2 linked regions of the Tamandua tetradactyla genome follow. The protein of the gene in region 1 interacts with the protein of each later gene in a biochemical or structural test. Links are inferred from orthologs where the notes say so. Each region holds a gene or a part of one and is shown on either strand. Other genes may lie near its edges.

The links. The genes of interacting proteins can lie anywhere in the genome.
Region 2: the proteins of FLNC (region 1) and XIRP1 form a complex in vitro, tested with the Homo sapiens proteins (2 studies listed by BioGRID and IntAct, with this or other methods). The link is inferred for Tamandua tetradactyla from reciprocal best matches to the Homo sapiens genes FLNC and XIRP1.

The regions. Positions count from the first base shown.
Region 1 is NC_135327.1:170,249,173-170,256,507, reverse strand, and holds the start of FLNC (filamin-C), read right to left. Parts: upstream 3,035-7,335; 5' UTR 3,004-3,034; coding exon 2,649-3,003; intron 1-2,648.
Region 2 is NC_135341.1:48,016,947-48,024,273, forward strand, and holds the start of XIRP1 (xin actin-binding repeat-containing protein 1), read left to right. Parts: upstream 1-4,327; 5' UTR 4,328-4,457; intron 4,458-7,327. UniProt on the Homo sapiens protein: Protects actin filaments from depolymerization. Required for correct cardiac intercalated disk ultrastructure via maintenance of cell-cell adhesion stability, and as a result maintains cardiac organ morphology, conductance and heart beat rhythm.

The DNA.
Region 1 (7,335 bases):
AGAAGTACCTCTTGGAAGCTGGAGACAGACCCCTGAGAGGGCGGGCATGGGAGGCTGCCGGGCTGGGAGGAGTGTATGTGTACGTGTGGGGGACGGTGATCACTCACAGTCACAGAGAGCGAGGTTTCTCCCCAGCAACTGGCCCTGGGCCAAACAGCAAGTGGTCCACAGCCTGGGGCAGGAGAGGGCCAGCAAGGGGCCCAGAGTCCCACTCTGGGGGCAATGCCCTTCCTCTCCTCTCACTCAGCTTAGGCTTCCTCCCTTATATCCTCCCATGCCACCACTCCTCAGCCTGCCTGGGGATACCCCCAAAGGGGGCGGGAAAAGTCAGACAGCCAGTCCTTGAGGCTACCCCAGGATTCAAGTAGAGGGGGAGGAGGAGAGAGAGCTGGGCTGAGGGAGGGGCTGGGACAGCTGCTGTCCCCTCCAGCCCCTCCCTCGGCTGTTGGCCCAAAGAGAAGGAATAGCAACTGGGGAACAGCTGCAGGACAGAGCTGCCTCATAGGCCCCTTTGTTTGGAGGGGCTGAGGGGGCAGTGGGGGCCATACGGGGGTGGTAGGCATAGGAAAGGGGACACAGTTTCTCCAACCCAAGCTGAATACCCCCTCCTTCAGGTGGACGTCCCAGCTCCCAGCTCCCACCCCAGGCCTTGACTTCCCTTCTAGAAAGGGAAATAGTGTGTCTTTCTGGCCTCCCACCAATGTGCTCAGATGCTCAATTTTAGTCTGAGACAATGTCTCCTCATTCCACCACTAAAGGGGACAGCGGGAACTAGAGGAGGCAGGAGGCTCCCACCGGATGGGTAGCCCTTTACATCAGCTCGGAGTCGTCTGAACCCCCTCCCCTCCAGCCTCAGCCTCTCTGCAGCTGAACTGCTGACAGTTTATCTCATCAGCGCGAGGACGCCACTTGGCCGGAACAGGGAACAGCTCCCCTTCCTCTCAGTGGGAACCGAGGGAGAGTCTCTCCCACCCCCAAACCAGCTTTTGCTCCTTCCTCCTCTACTCTGAGCCCGCCCCTGCACAGTCGAGCCAAGGGGGCTGGAGCCAGTAACCATCAAGGGGGAGGGGAGAGGTGTGCTCTGAAAGGATGAGGCCTAGAGATGGGCAGTGGGCTGTCCCTGCAGCCCCCAGAGAGGAGGGGAAGTCTGAGCAGTTTCCTTTAATATCTCCTCTAATAGCCTCGAGCTGTCCCAAAGACCCCACTTGGGACAGTCAGTCTCGCCTTTCCAATCCCAGGGTACAGGGGGTCTCCTTACCCCCACCCCCATTCACATAGCCCTCAGCCCCACTACAGACACCAGCACCTCCTCCCCCACCCCCTGCCCTCAAGTTTGTCCTTCTGGAAAGCTCAGAGACATCTGCTGTGTCACGGAGGCAGGGCTATTTCCAGGCCAGAGCAGGCGGGTGGGGTGGGAGGTAGAGGGGGGAGCACTGGGGTAGGAGGGGGTAAGGTGGAGGGAGGGGCCTAGCAGGGCAAAGGGCCCTAAACTGACCTCAGCTGCTAATTCAGGAGACCTAGAGATGGCCCTGAGGGGGAGAGGGGGGTGGGCATTCAATGATCTGGGTATATCTCTTGGAGCAGCGAGATGGGGGGCGGGGAGGCTCTAGGTTACCTGGCCCTACGTGAAACTCCCCTCATGAGGTCCCGGGGTGTATCCCCACAAGGGGCCCGTTCATGTAAATCAACGCAGAACTCTTCAGACCTCACCACAGGGGTGAGAGGTCTTCCCCAGGCCTGGAAGCCCGCTTGGATGGCTGCAGGGTTGTGAGGGGAGAGGATACTTCTTGCCACTCAAAGCCCATCCTTGGCTTCTTCTCAGCTGTAAAGCCTAGAGTGCCTCCCCACCCCCACACAGCACTGACACACCTTCCAAATCTGGTTACACTCAATGACTTCCTCCCTTCTACAGGCTTTGTCCTCCCTCCCCTCAGTCCAGACCTTTAGCTGCAGCCAATCCCGGGCTGAGGGGGAGGGCTGGGGCAGGGCCTGCAGGGGTGGGAGCCCCCCTCCCCAGCAGACAGAAGCAGGAGGACAGGCAGGGGTTAAGGCTCCCTGCGCTCACTCAGTGCCTTTTTAGGTTTCTGAGGCAGGGCCCTGCCTGCCTTGGCCCCCCAGCCTGAGCCCAGCTGCTGAGCACATGCCTGCCCTGGGCCTCGGCGGGAGCGGCGGGGCCACCAGCTCGCCTTCAGCCTAGAGCCGGGGAAGCTGGGCATTGGTTGGGACCTGCCCTCATGCCCATCTCCCCAGGCGCAGGTGCTGGGAAGCTGGGAAGCTGTGTGCTTTGTTTGGGGGCAGATGCCCCCAGGAATCCGCAATAGGCACTAGCCCTGTCCTTTCAAACCAGGGGCCAGGGTCCTGCCGCGGAAGAAAAGTGGACTAGGAGGGGAGGCGGAATGGCTGGAGCGGGTGTGGGGAAGCTGAAGCTGGAATGGTTAGGTCTGAACTCGCCTGGGTGCCCCGGGTCCTGAGAGGGGTGTGAAGGCAGAGCCCGGGCGAGTCCCGACGGTGCCACGGAGCTCCCCGCGCGCCCACCCAGCACCTGTGCCCCGCTGCCACGCACGGGCCGGCCCTCAGGGCACCGCTCCCCTCCCCTCCAGCTCCCCCCACCCGCCCCCCGTGCCCGAGCCCTCGGCGCCAGCACTGACCGATGGACACGAGCTTGATGTGTTCGCGCTCCAGGAACTCGAGGGCCACGGACACGTTCTCCAGCTTCATCTGGCGGAAGTTGGGGCGCGGGTGGAACTTGCGGTACATGCGCTTCTGGCTGAGCACCTCGAGCAGCGCGATGAGGCGCAGCCCGTCGCTGAGGTCGCGCTGCAGGTCGGTCAGGCGCTTGCCCACGCACTTGAGGTGCTCGTTGCACCAGCGCGTGAACGTGTTCTGCTGAATCTTCTTCCACGGCGCGTCCTCCGCCAGGTCCTTCTCCGTGGACGGCATCTCGTCCACCTCGTCGCCCAGACCGAGGCCCGAGGCCTCCGTGTAGCCGCTGTTGTTCATCATGCTGGCGCGGGCCGGGGCAGGGGCTGCGCTGCGTGTCTGGTCGGGGTCCGCGGCGGGGTCGGGGCGGCCCGGGGGGTGCTGTCGGGCGCTGTCGGGGCGCGACCGCGGGGCTCGCCGCTCGGCACTGCGCTGCTCTCCAACTGCTCTGGCGCCCCTGGCTGGCGGGGCTCGGCGGGCTTCCTCGGCTCTTCGGCCTCTCTCTGTCTCTGTCTGTCTGTCTCTCTCTCTCTCTCTCTCTCGCTCTCTCTCTCTCTCTCTCTCCGTCCGGGGGCGGAGCGGTGCTCGGGAAGTGCGGGCCGGGCCGGGGCGGGGGGTTTAAGAAGCCCCCGGGCCGCGGCCCCCCTGTCTCGCCCGCGGCCCCCGGGTCCACGTCAGAGCGCCGGCCTCCCAGGAATGCCGCCCGGCCCGCGGGTGGGGGCCACGCGGAGCGGAACGGCCCCGCCTCCCCGTCCCCTCCTTCCCCTCCCCTCCCCCACGCGGCCCGGGCGGCGGGAGGGGAGCTGGGGCCTCCCGCCCCTCCCCCACACCGGCCCGAGTCTGCGGACCAGGGGGGCTGGGGTCCCCGAGGAGCCGCCGCCCTGGGGAGGTGGATAGCGGCCCTCGAAGGTGGAAGAGAATGAGGGCGAAAGTTACCCATCCTCACCCAACACCCCTAAACTAAGCCTTGTCAGTCAGAGATGAAATGTGCTCCACTGCAGAGGAGCTCAAGAGATAAATGGGGAAACTGAGGCCAGTGGTTAGAGTGAAACATACACACACACACACACACACACACACACACACACACACACACACACACACGGATGTCGTGTTAGAATTTCTGGATGAGTTGGTGGAAGTGCTGTTGACCGGACCTGGGAGTCCTGGCTTCTAGCCCAGTGTATTGTCCACCTGTGGATAGGGAAGGGAAGTCTGTGAGCTTGTGTAGACCTGGACAGAGAGGAAGCAAGGACACTGCCCAGGCCACTTAGGAAGAAGGCTTGGGGATGGTGGACTCCGCGGCAGGGGGTGGGGGGCACCTCCCTCATTGCTCCACTTTACAGGTAGAAAGGCCTCATTTGGGACCCAAACCCAGAGGCAAAGACTGAGGCTGCTGCCCCTGACTCAGTGCCCCTGCTGCCAGCCCCATCTGGCCTCATCCCCTCAGAATGAAGCTGAGCTCAGGAAAAAGGTACCCAGTGAGTTACACTGTGCCACCCCCACCCCCACTCCGCCCCAGCTCAAGTCTGACTCAACCAAGGTGATGAGTGGGGAGAGAGAGACTGCCTCTTTAGTGCCAGAGAGCCCCCTGGGCAATGTGCCCATTTTGGCCACAAGGCAGATCACTCTAGGGAGAAGGCGGATTACTGACAGAAACAGGGAGAGCCCTGCCCAGAGCAGCCAAGGGGGAACGTGACTGAGGCAGGTGGGCAGCGGTAGAGTGGTCAGGGAGAGCCCGAGGGAGCCAGCCAGGACGTGCTAGGCAGGGCTAGGCTTGGGGTAAGCCAAGGATGGCTGGAGGCCTGGGGAGTGGTGAGGGTAGGGAAACTGAGGCATCCACACAGAGGAGCTGACCTGAGATGAAAAAAAAAGAGCTATAGGATATATTTTTATAAAGAGAATATATATTCTGCGATTTTGTAGCATACATGTATTCCATACCTCCTGGTCTGCCTTTTATGGCCATCCTTCCTCAGCTTTCCCATCCCTCCTGGACCCAGTAAGTTTGGGGTAGTGAATTGGTGAGAGGTTCTGGAAGAAGTAGGCAAACCCTCACTTCATCAACAGGAAACTGAGTGGGTAGGAGACCGTGTCTGAGCCTGAGAAGTGTCTTGTATGTGATACAAGCCATGTATGTGATAACAACTGAGAAGGTTTAAGAAGGTTCTGGGACCTTATAAATGACTAATTCTACCTTTTGCCTCTCTTTTCCCCAGGCTGGGTGAAAAAGAACGAGCTTGTGGTTATCTTTGGGGCTCTCTTCCCAAGAGCAGAATGAGGGCACTCTTCATTAAAGAGCTGAGGGAGAAGTTTGGGGGTTTAATGGGGGCAGTGCTTATAGTGAAAGGGGTCATGAGTGATTTCTGTTCGTTCTCATTAAATGAGGTTGCTTGGTTGCCTGAGTAGGGAGGGGGGAGGAGTAGAGAAGGGCCCAGAAACAGAAAAGGGCCAGGCTGTGTGTGGCTGGGGTGGGGGGGCAGGCTATGGGGGCCCTGATAGTGACAGGCGAGGTATAAATAGCGTGGGCCCTGCAGCTCATGTTCTGTCGGCTGCCTGTGACAAGGTGCTCAGGAATTCTACTCTCCTGCTGGCAAACCCCTTTCTCCCCATCTCCAGTGCTCTCATTACCCACAAGCAACCTTCATCCCGTGGCCCAAAGCACCCATCAGGCACCAGTGCTGCCCATCTACCTGAGAGGCTGAGCTCTCCTGTGGAGAGATTCCCAGTTCCTGGGGGAACATAGCTGGGTCTCACCAAGGAACTGTGTGCCAGTGTGTGCGTGTGTGTGTGCGTGTGTGTGTGCGTGTAAGGGCAGACTTCTGGCACCCAACTCTGAGGTGCCAGGAGCTTAGGGTTCAATGATGTTGTCTTGAAGCTTTGGTGGAGAAACCGATGTACAACTCTGATAAAGGCTGGATTCCCTTGTTGAGCGCAAGGGATAAGCTGGAGTTGCTTGAAGCTGACAGCCTCTTTATAAACCCTAACGGCTCCTATTCCTGTTTTGTGGGCATTCCTTGATGTTCCTGAGTCATTTGGGGGCCAGTGTTGACAGGGGAGAGTTCAGACTGATGCCCACAAGTGGAGAGATAACTCTCAAGGATAGCCCCCCATGCCTCCCCTGGCTCTCCCCCTTTGACTCATTGTCTCATTCCAGTAGAGAGCAGTGTGTCTGCCCCAGGGGAGTGAGAGGAGGGTACAGAGTGCCCATGGATGGTTCCCGTCACCCCCCCATCCCCCGAGAAACCTGAGCCTGTTGCTCTCCAGGATAAATCGGGGCCTGACTCAGGCTCCAGCCAGCCAGTCACAGTCAGCCTGACCCTGGCGCAGGCTGGTGACTCAGCCCCCGATATAGCCCATGAGCCCAGGCCCCAGGCCCAGCCACATGGGCCGGAACAGACCGTGCACAATGTTGGTCCTATAGCCTGCCAATTGGGCTCCTCTCCCCAAGGAAGGCTGATAGGTTCCTCCCTGAGCCAGGCAGGGGCACCCAGAGGGGCTTACAGGGGGTTTTGTCAGCTGAATATTTGGGGCTGCATTGGTTGGAGCCATGGGCATTTATAAGCCTGACTCACCACCACCCGCTTGTCTCAGGAGACCAGGCTACCCGGTCTTTCACCTGACCCTGCCTCTGCCATCAAGGGGACTGCTTGTCAGCCACTGACACTGGCCTCATTTAACTCGGACTGAGCAGAATCTGAGTAAGTGGGTGCAATGGGCCATGTTTGAAAATCCTGCTGTTCTGGAGCCGTGGTCATTTCCACAATCACCTGTGACGATACCAGGCTGGTATCACAGCAGACACCCAGAGCAGGCACTCTGACCAAGCCACACTACTGATTATGGTGCTGACCCAGGTGCCAGGGACAATGGAAGAGTGGAAAGATCCACAGGCTGAATTCCAGCCTCTCTACTTCTGGCTCTGTGACCTTGGGAGGTAATGTAACTTTTTGTGACCTTTGTTTTCTCATTTGTAAAGTGGAATTAGTCACACTTTCATCTGATTTTTTAAGATGTGAAGATGAAAGGAGATAACTGTAAAATGATTGGCTTGGTGCCTGTCAGTTTGCTTCGTCTGCTGGTATCTCGGGGATGGAGTGAGCCAGGTTCTTCCTCACAGTCTGTCTTTCCACCCCTGTAGAGACCATTGTCAGGATCTCTACACTGGTCCCTCCCTCTCTTACCTAGTAAATCTACTTCCTAACCTTCCACCTGCCAGAATCATAACTGGCAGCGCTTCTGTCTTTGGAAGGGTGCACGCTGACCGAGGGCAGCAGGTCCTTGAGAGGGGTGACAGCTGGCATGGTCGTCTTGGGAAGGGAAAGCAGAGGGGACTGGTCTGCAGGGAGGAAGCGGTTATGCAGAGGGCGGCAGAGGAGAGATAGAGGCTCCCAAGCCTTGGTACCACCTGTACCTGAGGCCTGGCTACATACCTGCCCATGGATTCCAGGAGACACCCTTGTAGACTTAAAATCAATTCCCCCCCCCCCTTTTTTTCTTAGGCTAGCTGGAGGGAATGTTTCACCCACAACAGAGACCTGTTTAATATACTTTGGTAACAATATATCAATAAGACCAGGAGACATCAAGTTCAAACCAGATGAAGAGGATGAGGTTCCACAATAAGCCCAGAGA
Region 2 (7,327 bases), on another chromosome or scaffold:
GTCAGCCCCTTTCCCTTCCCTTTGGCTGCTCACTAGTTGCTTTCCTTTGCTAGGTCTCAGATTTTTTCAGCTGTTAAAAGGGAATTTGGACTCAATCTCTCCGTGTCAGTGAGACTTTAGACCTGGAGAGACCTTTAAACACGACTATTGTCATCCCACACATTTCAGAAATGGGGAAAATATTCAGGAAAGGAGAGTTGGGACAGAGCTGGGACTCAGCAGCCCTGAGTCCAGCCCAGCCTCGTTCCAGCACCTTTCTGCCACTTTCTTATCAGCCAACTACTTTGGGGATGCCAAACACTGTGCAGTAAAGTAGCCAGGAGCCACACGGCTTGAAATGGAACTAGTGCAACTGAGGAGCCACATTTCTTATTTAATTTTAAATCATTTAAATTAAAAAACTGATACCCGATTCAGTTATTGTAAAATGTTTAAGTGTGTTTGGATGACTTGGGCATCTGTATTTCAACCGTAACTTTTATCAAAGCTAAATATGAATCAAGTATTTCCGATGAAATTTTAGTATCCTGGTTGAGAGGTATTGTTAGTGCAAAATATACACTGGATTTTGAAGACAATTTTAAAAACAAACGTAAAATATCTCCATAATTTTTATGTTGGTGATATGTACAAATGATAATTTTTGGAAATTTGGGTCAAATAAATCATATTATTAAAATTACTTTCACCTCTTTCTTTTTGCTTTGTTCAGATGCCGTTACTAGAAAAAAATCTGAATTATTGTGCAGCTCGCATTATTTTGGTAATGGACAGTGTGGGTCTAAATGTTCAAAACAACCCCCTGAGGTGGCCCTGTTATTATTATCCTCATCTCACAGAGAGGGAGTTAATATGTCAGATGGTGCCTGTGTCCCCTGCCACCCCCAGAGTCACCCCCAGCTTCGATGGGCACTCCCTGTACATGCAAACACTCCCTACCTCAAACACTTACGTCTCTCTGTCGGAGGGGCAGACAAGAAGCACAGGAGAGTTGGCACTTCCAGGAACAGGGTGGGTGAGGGTTGGGGTTTAAATGCAACAGTGTCTTCACCCGTCTCCCGGAGGGTCCGCCGTGGGATGAAACCCCAGCAGCTCACAGAGGGGGCCTGCTCTCCTCCTGCCCTGACTGCCTCCACCACTCCCTCACCATCTTGCCCGGAATCCCCTCCCAATTAAACCACTTGCACCCAAATTCAGGTCTCAGCCTCTGCTCTCGGAAGATGCACACCAAAACCCTGCAGTACAGAGAGACCAAAGACTAGTGACTATATATAAATAGTAAGAGACAGGCTGGCGATCTGATCCCAGACAGCGTGACACCACATCTCACACTCTCAAACACCACCCAGGAGCCAAAACGTTCCTATGGCAAATCTGCCCAGGCTTTGAGCTGACCCCAGAGCAGAAAAGTCCCATTTCTGAATCCCTGGGTTCACATGATTTCACTGAGAGCCTGAGCGGACCCCTCCCCTGCAAGTCTGGAACAGACCCAGCTTGGCCTGCCCAGAGCAGTGGCCCTGGCACCAGTGTCTGCTTCCCGCTGGGAGCAAAGCCAGGACCTCCAGCCTGTACCTTGTAGGACACTCGCCTTCAGACCAAGAGGATGCACTAGGCTCTGTGACCTGGAGAAAGTGGGAAGAGCCGAGGTCCAGGGACAATTTATTGTGCTTACTCATTTATTGAGCTTAGCACGTGCCAGGCACTGTTCTAAATGCTTTTGCTAGATTAATTCATATAACCTCCACAACAACCCTTTGGGGTACATGCGATTATTAGCACCATCTCATAGATGAAGAAAGTAAGGAACAGGGGGGTTAGGTAACTTGCCCAAGTTGAATCCACACAGCTAAGTTCAGGCGTCTGGGTCTTAATCATTCCTGGATCCTGTGCCTTCTGAAACTTAAGTTGAGTTGCTGCTCACTACTCACCTTGAAACCCACTTTAGAGTACCCAATTCTGCAGGTGCTTGAGACTCTGACCAAATCCAACGCTGGTGGAGCCCCACCTGGAGGGAGGCATCCTTGTCCTGGGAAGCAGTAGACACCAGAAGGAGAGATTATTGTAGCTAGAAAGCAGCCACTCTTCCCAGCCCACATCTTCCTCAAAGCCCTTTGCTTTTCAACAGAGATCCTTTAATCAGCACAGTCACTCAACCTCAGTGTATTTATTCCCAGCCTGATTTGAGATTCCCAAATGATTTGAGAGGGTTTAAAAGATATGTGCACAGTATTTCCACCAAAGATTCTCTGCCTGGTTGCTGCCTTAATGGCTTAGTAATAGATACTGTGATGTAGTGACACTATTAGATCATTACACTTAGAGTTGACCAACTTGTCCTAGTTTTCTCAGAACTTTCCCACTTAAGTCCCTAGTCTTGAGAAACCTCTTAATGCCAGGGAAACAGGGAAAGTTGGTTACCCTTGTTCTACAGGATGCAGGACATAAAGTCTATTTGATCAAAGAGAACTAAAAATTTATCTCAGAGCTTCCTAGCAGCCAAAGCAAAGAGAGAAATACTTCATTGTGAGAATTTTTGGTGTCTACAATAGCACTGTACAATAGACCTTTCTGCAATAATAGACATATTCTGTACTGTCCAATATGATAGTTACCAGCCACACATATCTATGGGGCACCTGAAATGTGGCTTGCATGATTAAGGAGTTGAATCTTTATTTTATTTTATTTAAATTTTAATAGCCACATGAGGCTAGTGGCAATTATATTGGACAGCATAGCTGTATTAGGTAGGCGCTATTTCTTGATATTAAGGCCTGAGAATTTTCTGCTATGAATTAACACATCTGAGGTAAATGCAAAGGGAAGTTCATTTTCTATACATATAATAATAATATACACATGCCACGTGCTAAGTCCTCTTGTAAACATTTTCAGATATGAATTCATTCCATTCTCAAAACTGCCCTAAGGAGGAGGTACTTTCAGCATCCCCAGGGAGAAGGCCCCACCTGGGTGACTCTGAGGGACCTACGCCCCTCCTTCCCCGACCTGGTGGCCTGAAAGGACTGTACCTTGGGTCTCCTTCCCTTCCTAGGGAGAGCCAGGAGCTTGAGGAGCAGACGGGTGGAATGGGGTAGAGTGGGGGCAAAAGGGCACAGGAAGAGAAGAGGGAGGGAGACCAGGGACAAGGGTTTCCAGACACCTCCCTGAGGCTGACGCTGCAAGACTGACATTGACTCAATGGAAAAAGTGAGCTGTGTCTGGCGTCACCCCTGGCACCCATGGCATCTGGGGCGCCAGAAAGAAGACCCCATCCTGCCAGGCAACAGAACGTGCCTGCATGCCCTTAGACACGGAACCTGGGACGGGCCTCCCACCCGGGACAAAACACCATGGATGGTCCCTGACCCCCTTCATCCTGACTCCTTCCTGGCCTGAATGCCAGGACCAGTTGAGCCTGCGAGGGCCCTCCAGCTCCGGGCAGCCAAGGAGGGGGCAGGTGTGCCCCCCAGCCCCACCCCTGCCTCCATCTGTGACTGGGAAGCTGATGACTCCAGGGTCAGAAATAACCCCAGAGTCAGCTCCCCATATGCCTCCCCTCCCTCCCCTCCATTCCCAGAAAGTCTGGGCCCTGAGTCAAAAGGAATAAGAGTAAATAAGGACCCATATCATCTCATACAAAACCACAAAACCATTCCTGAAATTCTTTGATAAATCAGGGACCTAGTGAGGAGTTGGGCCTGGTAGTTCAAATGTCTTCTCCCCAGATCCGACACTGCCCAGGGTTGCACAAACCTGGGTTAGTGAGCCTGGAGAGGAATGGATAAGACAGGGTGAAATCTTCAGTGCAGAAGGGAATGGGGGAGAAGGAGAGCCGGGCCTAACTCTCAGAAGCATCCAGGACAAAACAGGGGTGGAGGGGCCTGGCCGTGCCCTCAGGGGGCCTCCAGTCTCCGGGCAGGAAGATACACTCATGGGATTGGTCAGAGGTCAGTCCAGAGTAGGAGATGGGGATGCTCGGGGATGGGGACACAGGCTCTCCTGATGTCCCCTGCCCCTCCTTATTCATTTCCTCAAAATAGTCTGGGACACCCCCGACCCACCCGTGGCTGAGTCACCGGGTCCTCAGGTCGCCCCCAGGATGAATGAAGGCCTCTCCCCACCCTCCCCCTCCGCAGTAGAAAGAACACGTAACTGATTCCCCGGGATGGAAGAGCGACTTCCACAAGCCTAAAAATAACCCAGCCACTTCATACTCTGAACTTAGCCTCCCCTGACCACCCCCACCTGGCCCACCCCCCCCCACCCCCCCAGCCACCAAGATAAAGGCAGCTGCTGGGACTGGCAGGGGACAGAGACCCAGAGCCAAGGCGGCGAGAAGGCCTGAATTAGCAGTGCAGGACCAAGCCCGGACGCCAAATACAGAGGGACAACCGACCCCCGAGAGGCACTTACCACAGACTCCGAGCATCCATTCGGCCAGGCAAGACCCTCGTGTGAGTAGCCTGCCCCTTTGTCTTCCACAGAATCCTCTCTGGGCCCTCTGGGTAGGCTCTCAGGACAGCAGGAATAAGGGGTGGCTCTGGGCGGAAGAGGGCATTTGGGGACCACATTTTCCAGTAGTACAAGAGGAGTCTCTGACATCAGGAACCCATGAGGGGGCTAAGGGAGAGTTAGCAGGAGTCCCATGGGAGCTCTCAGAGGGCTGCTAAAGGCCTGAGGTGGGGAGCAGGGCTTTAGGGGCCCAGTATCTGAAGGAAAGAGGGTAGAGGGAAGGAGGGAGGCCAAGAGAAAGGAGGCTGGGGTGGTGGGGGACCAGGAACGGTAAGTAGGCCTAGTCTGCTTTACCAGGACAAGCCCCCTGCCCAGCTGTTGTGGGCAAAAGTCTGGGCATATTCGGCCCCAGGAATTTCTCCCCGGGGCTGGTCTGAGGTTTGGATGAGCCCTACTCCCCACATATTGTGGTCTAGAAGCTGGGGGCGGGGAGGAATGCAGCGTCTGCCCGAGGCCACTGTCTTGACAGTGGGAGGGCCCTAGGGGCAGATCTGGGGTGCTCATAGCTCATACCAAGGAGACCAGATCTCAGTCTGTGCAGATGTAGATGTGTGGAGGGATTGGGACCACAGAAGGGGGTACCTAGGCACAAAAGTCGGGGCATCCTGAGAGGCTGGCCCAGCCTAGGAGGCCAGGCTGCCTAGGGGGCCCCCACCCAAGTCTGGTCCCAGTTTGAAGTCTGCCTTCACCCTACCCTCACCCTCTAGAAATGAAAAAGCCCCAGGAGTTCCCAGACCAGGCAGGGGTGAGAGCAGGAAAGCCCAGAGTGAGGAAACCAGTTCCCAGCTTGACTGGTGCCTTGCTGGGCAAGGACTCCTTGGACAGTAAGGGAATTAAATCTGGTGACCTCTGAAAGTCCTCAGGCCTGACATCTCTGGAGTCCGTGATTCGAACAGTTAGTGACCACAGCAGAGATTCTGGAGATTCCTGGGGGCGGGGGTAGGGGTGGAGTTGGTGGCCTGCACAATGCCATCTGCTGCAGCTACCCGGGTGCTGATAGGACCGAGTAGACGTGGGGACAGTGCAGGTTTGCCTTTGGCAGGGGGTCCTCATAGAAGCTCAGTGACTAAAGAAACCATCTAGAGGGCTTGATGAGGCTGCAGGTTCAAGGGGTTTCCACCTCTCAGGGGCTTAGTTGTCTTCATGGACCCGCTGGGAGTTAGGGTGGGGCAACACGGTCTCCTCTTCCTGGCCCCATTCCCACCTGCTTCCAGTGTCCCTGCACCTAGCCTCTTCCCCAAGCCTCTTTGGCCAGTGGATGTTTCTAGGCTCCAGTAGGGACAGGACTGCAGGGGGGCAGAGTTCAGGGGCAGGGGGGCAGGACTTAGGGAGTCCAGGATAGCAAAGGAGATGAAGTGGGCCAGGGGCTCCCCCTGCCCCCACTGGCTGAGCTTGGCCCTTCCTCCCCAGCCCAGGGCTGCTGCCTGAGGCCAGGACCTTGGCTATATTTAGCACCGGGGTAGAGCAGAGCAGTGGGTCAGGAGCAGTCGGAGGAAGGGACGTGCTTCTCATTCTTTCCCTGCTGGCCTCTAGGAACTTTAAGTATACCTGTCACAAGACAGATAAGGCACACGTGGGACAAAGACCAGAGACGGGCCTGAGAGGTGGAGAGTAGTGCTGGGGAGAGGCTGCATCTTGGTGAAAGCTAACTGACCTGAAAATGGTGGAAGAAAAGGAATAAAATGCCACATCTGGGGCTGGTTGAGGGGTTAGGGGCAAGGGATGAGAGACACTGAGGGCCCAGAGGCAGGTCTGAGCCTGAGGTCCTAAGTGCCTAAAACTGTGCTTGCCTGCACAAGACAGGGGAGAATTCTCCTTGGTCAAGGAGCAGGGCTCTCTGCAGAACGGGCCCCTGGTCCCACTGTTCTGCCCTCCTTATGGGTGTCTCCAAGAGGTGCCTGCTAGAGAAGATAGAGGCACCACGGTCAATAGGAAAGTTTCACTCCCGCTGCCCTTTTATTTCTTGAGGGCCAGGCCCTAAATGGGGTCTGGGAATCCTGAGCCAGCACTGCTTGCCACTCATTCGCCAGCATCCCACTCTTTCTGGACCTCAGTTTTCTCGCCTTCAACTGCAAGGGGCTGGGCTCCACGACCCTTGGCTGCCTCCAGCACAGACCTCCTGAGTCTTTGGGGTACAGCACAAAGAACCCTGACCAGGCATGCAGAATCTGGGTCTGCCCACCCACAAGATGCCCCTCCTCAGTCCTCAAATGCGTCCACTGTAGCACCGGCTGCAGACCCCTGCCATGTACTCTGTGGTCCTGGGAAATATTGGAGAGTGAGTGGAGAGTCAAAGGGTAAATGTGCCACAGAGACGCAGTCAATGTGGGATGGGCGCCCTCTGGTGTTCTTCAGAGGAATTTCATCTCCGTGGGAAATCAAGTCATCTGTGTAGGGTCCCACCTTTTACCAGCTGAGACTAGTAAATCAAAATTTCCCCAGGCACTCATCTGGGGGTCCTCCAGGGAAAAACAGACTGACAAAGGAAGGCAAGAGTGGGGAGTGTCCAGTTTGCCGACTGGACACATCGCACTAAAAGAAGGAGCCTAAATGCCAGTGGTGAACTGCTTGACCATGGGGAAGCAGAGACCCACCTTGCTGGATGACTCCATATGTCTAAGGTCAAGGCTTGTCATGCACCCACCATGCAGATGGCAGAGTGAGGCTCAGGCCAGGTAAGCCTAAAGACAGAGTGAATCTCCGGGCTTGTATCGCCATGAAGTTACTTTGCCCCGGGCCCTCCCCCTGCCAATCCTCCCAGCAAATAGCCCCCACCCCATCTAAAGCCCACGGCCCCATGCTCACTTTGTTC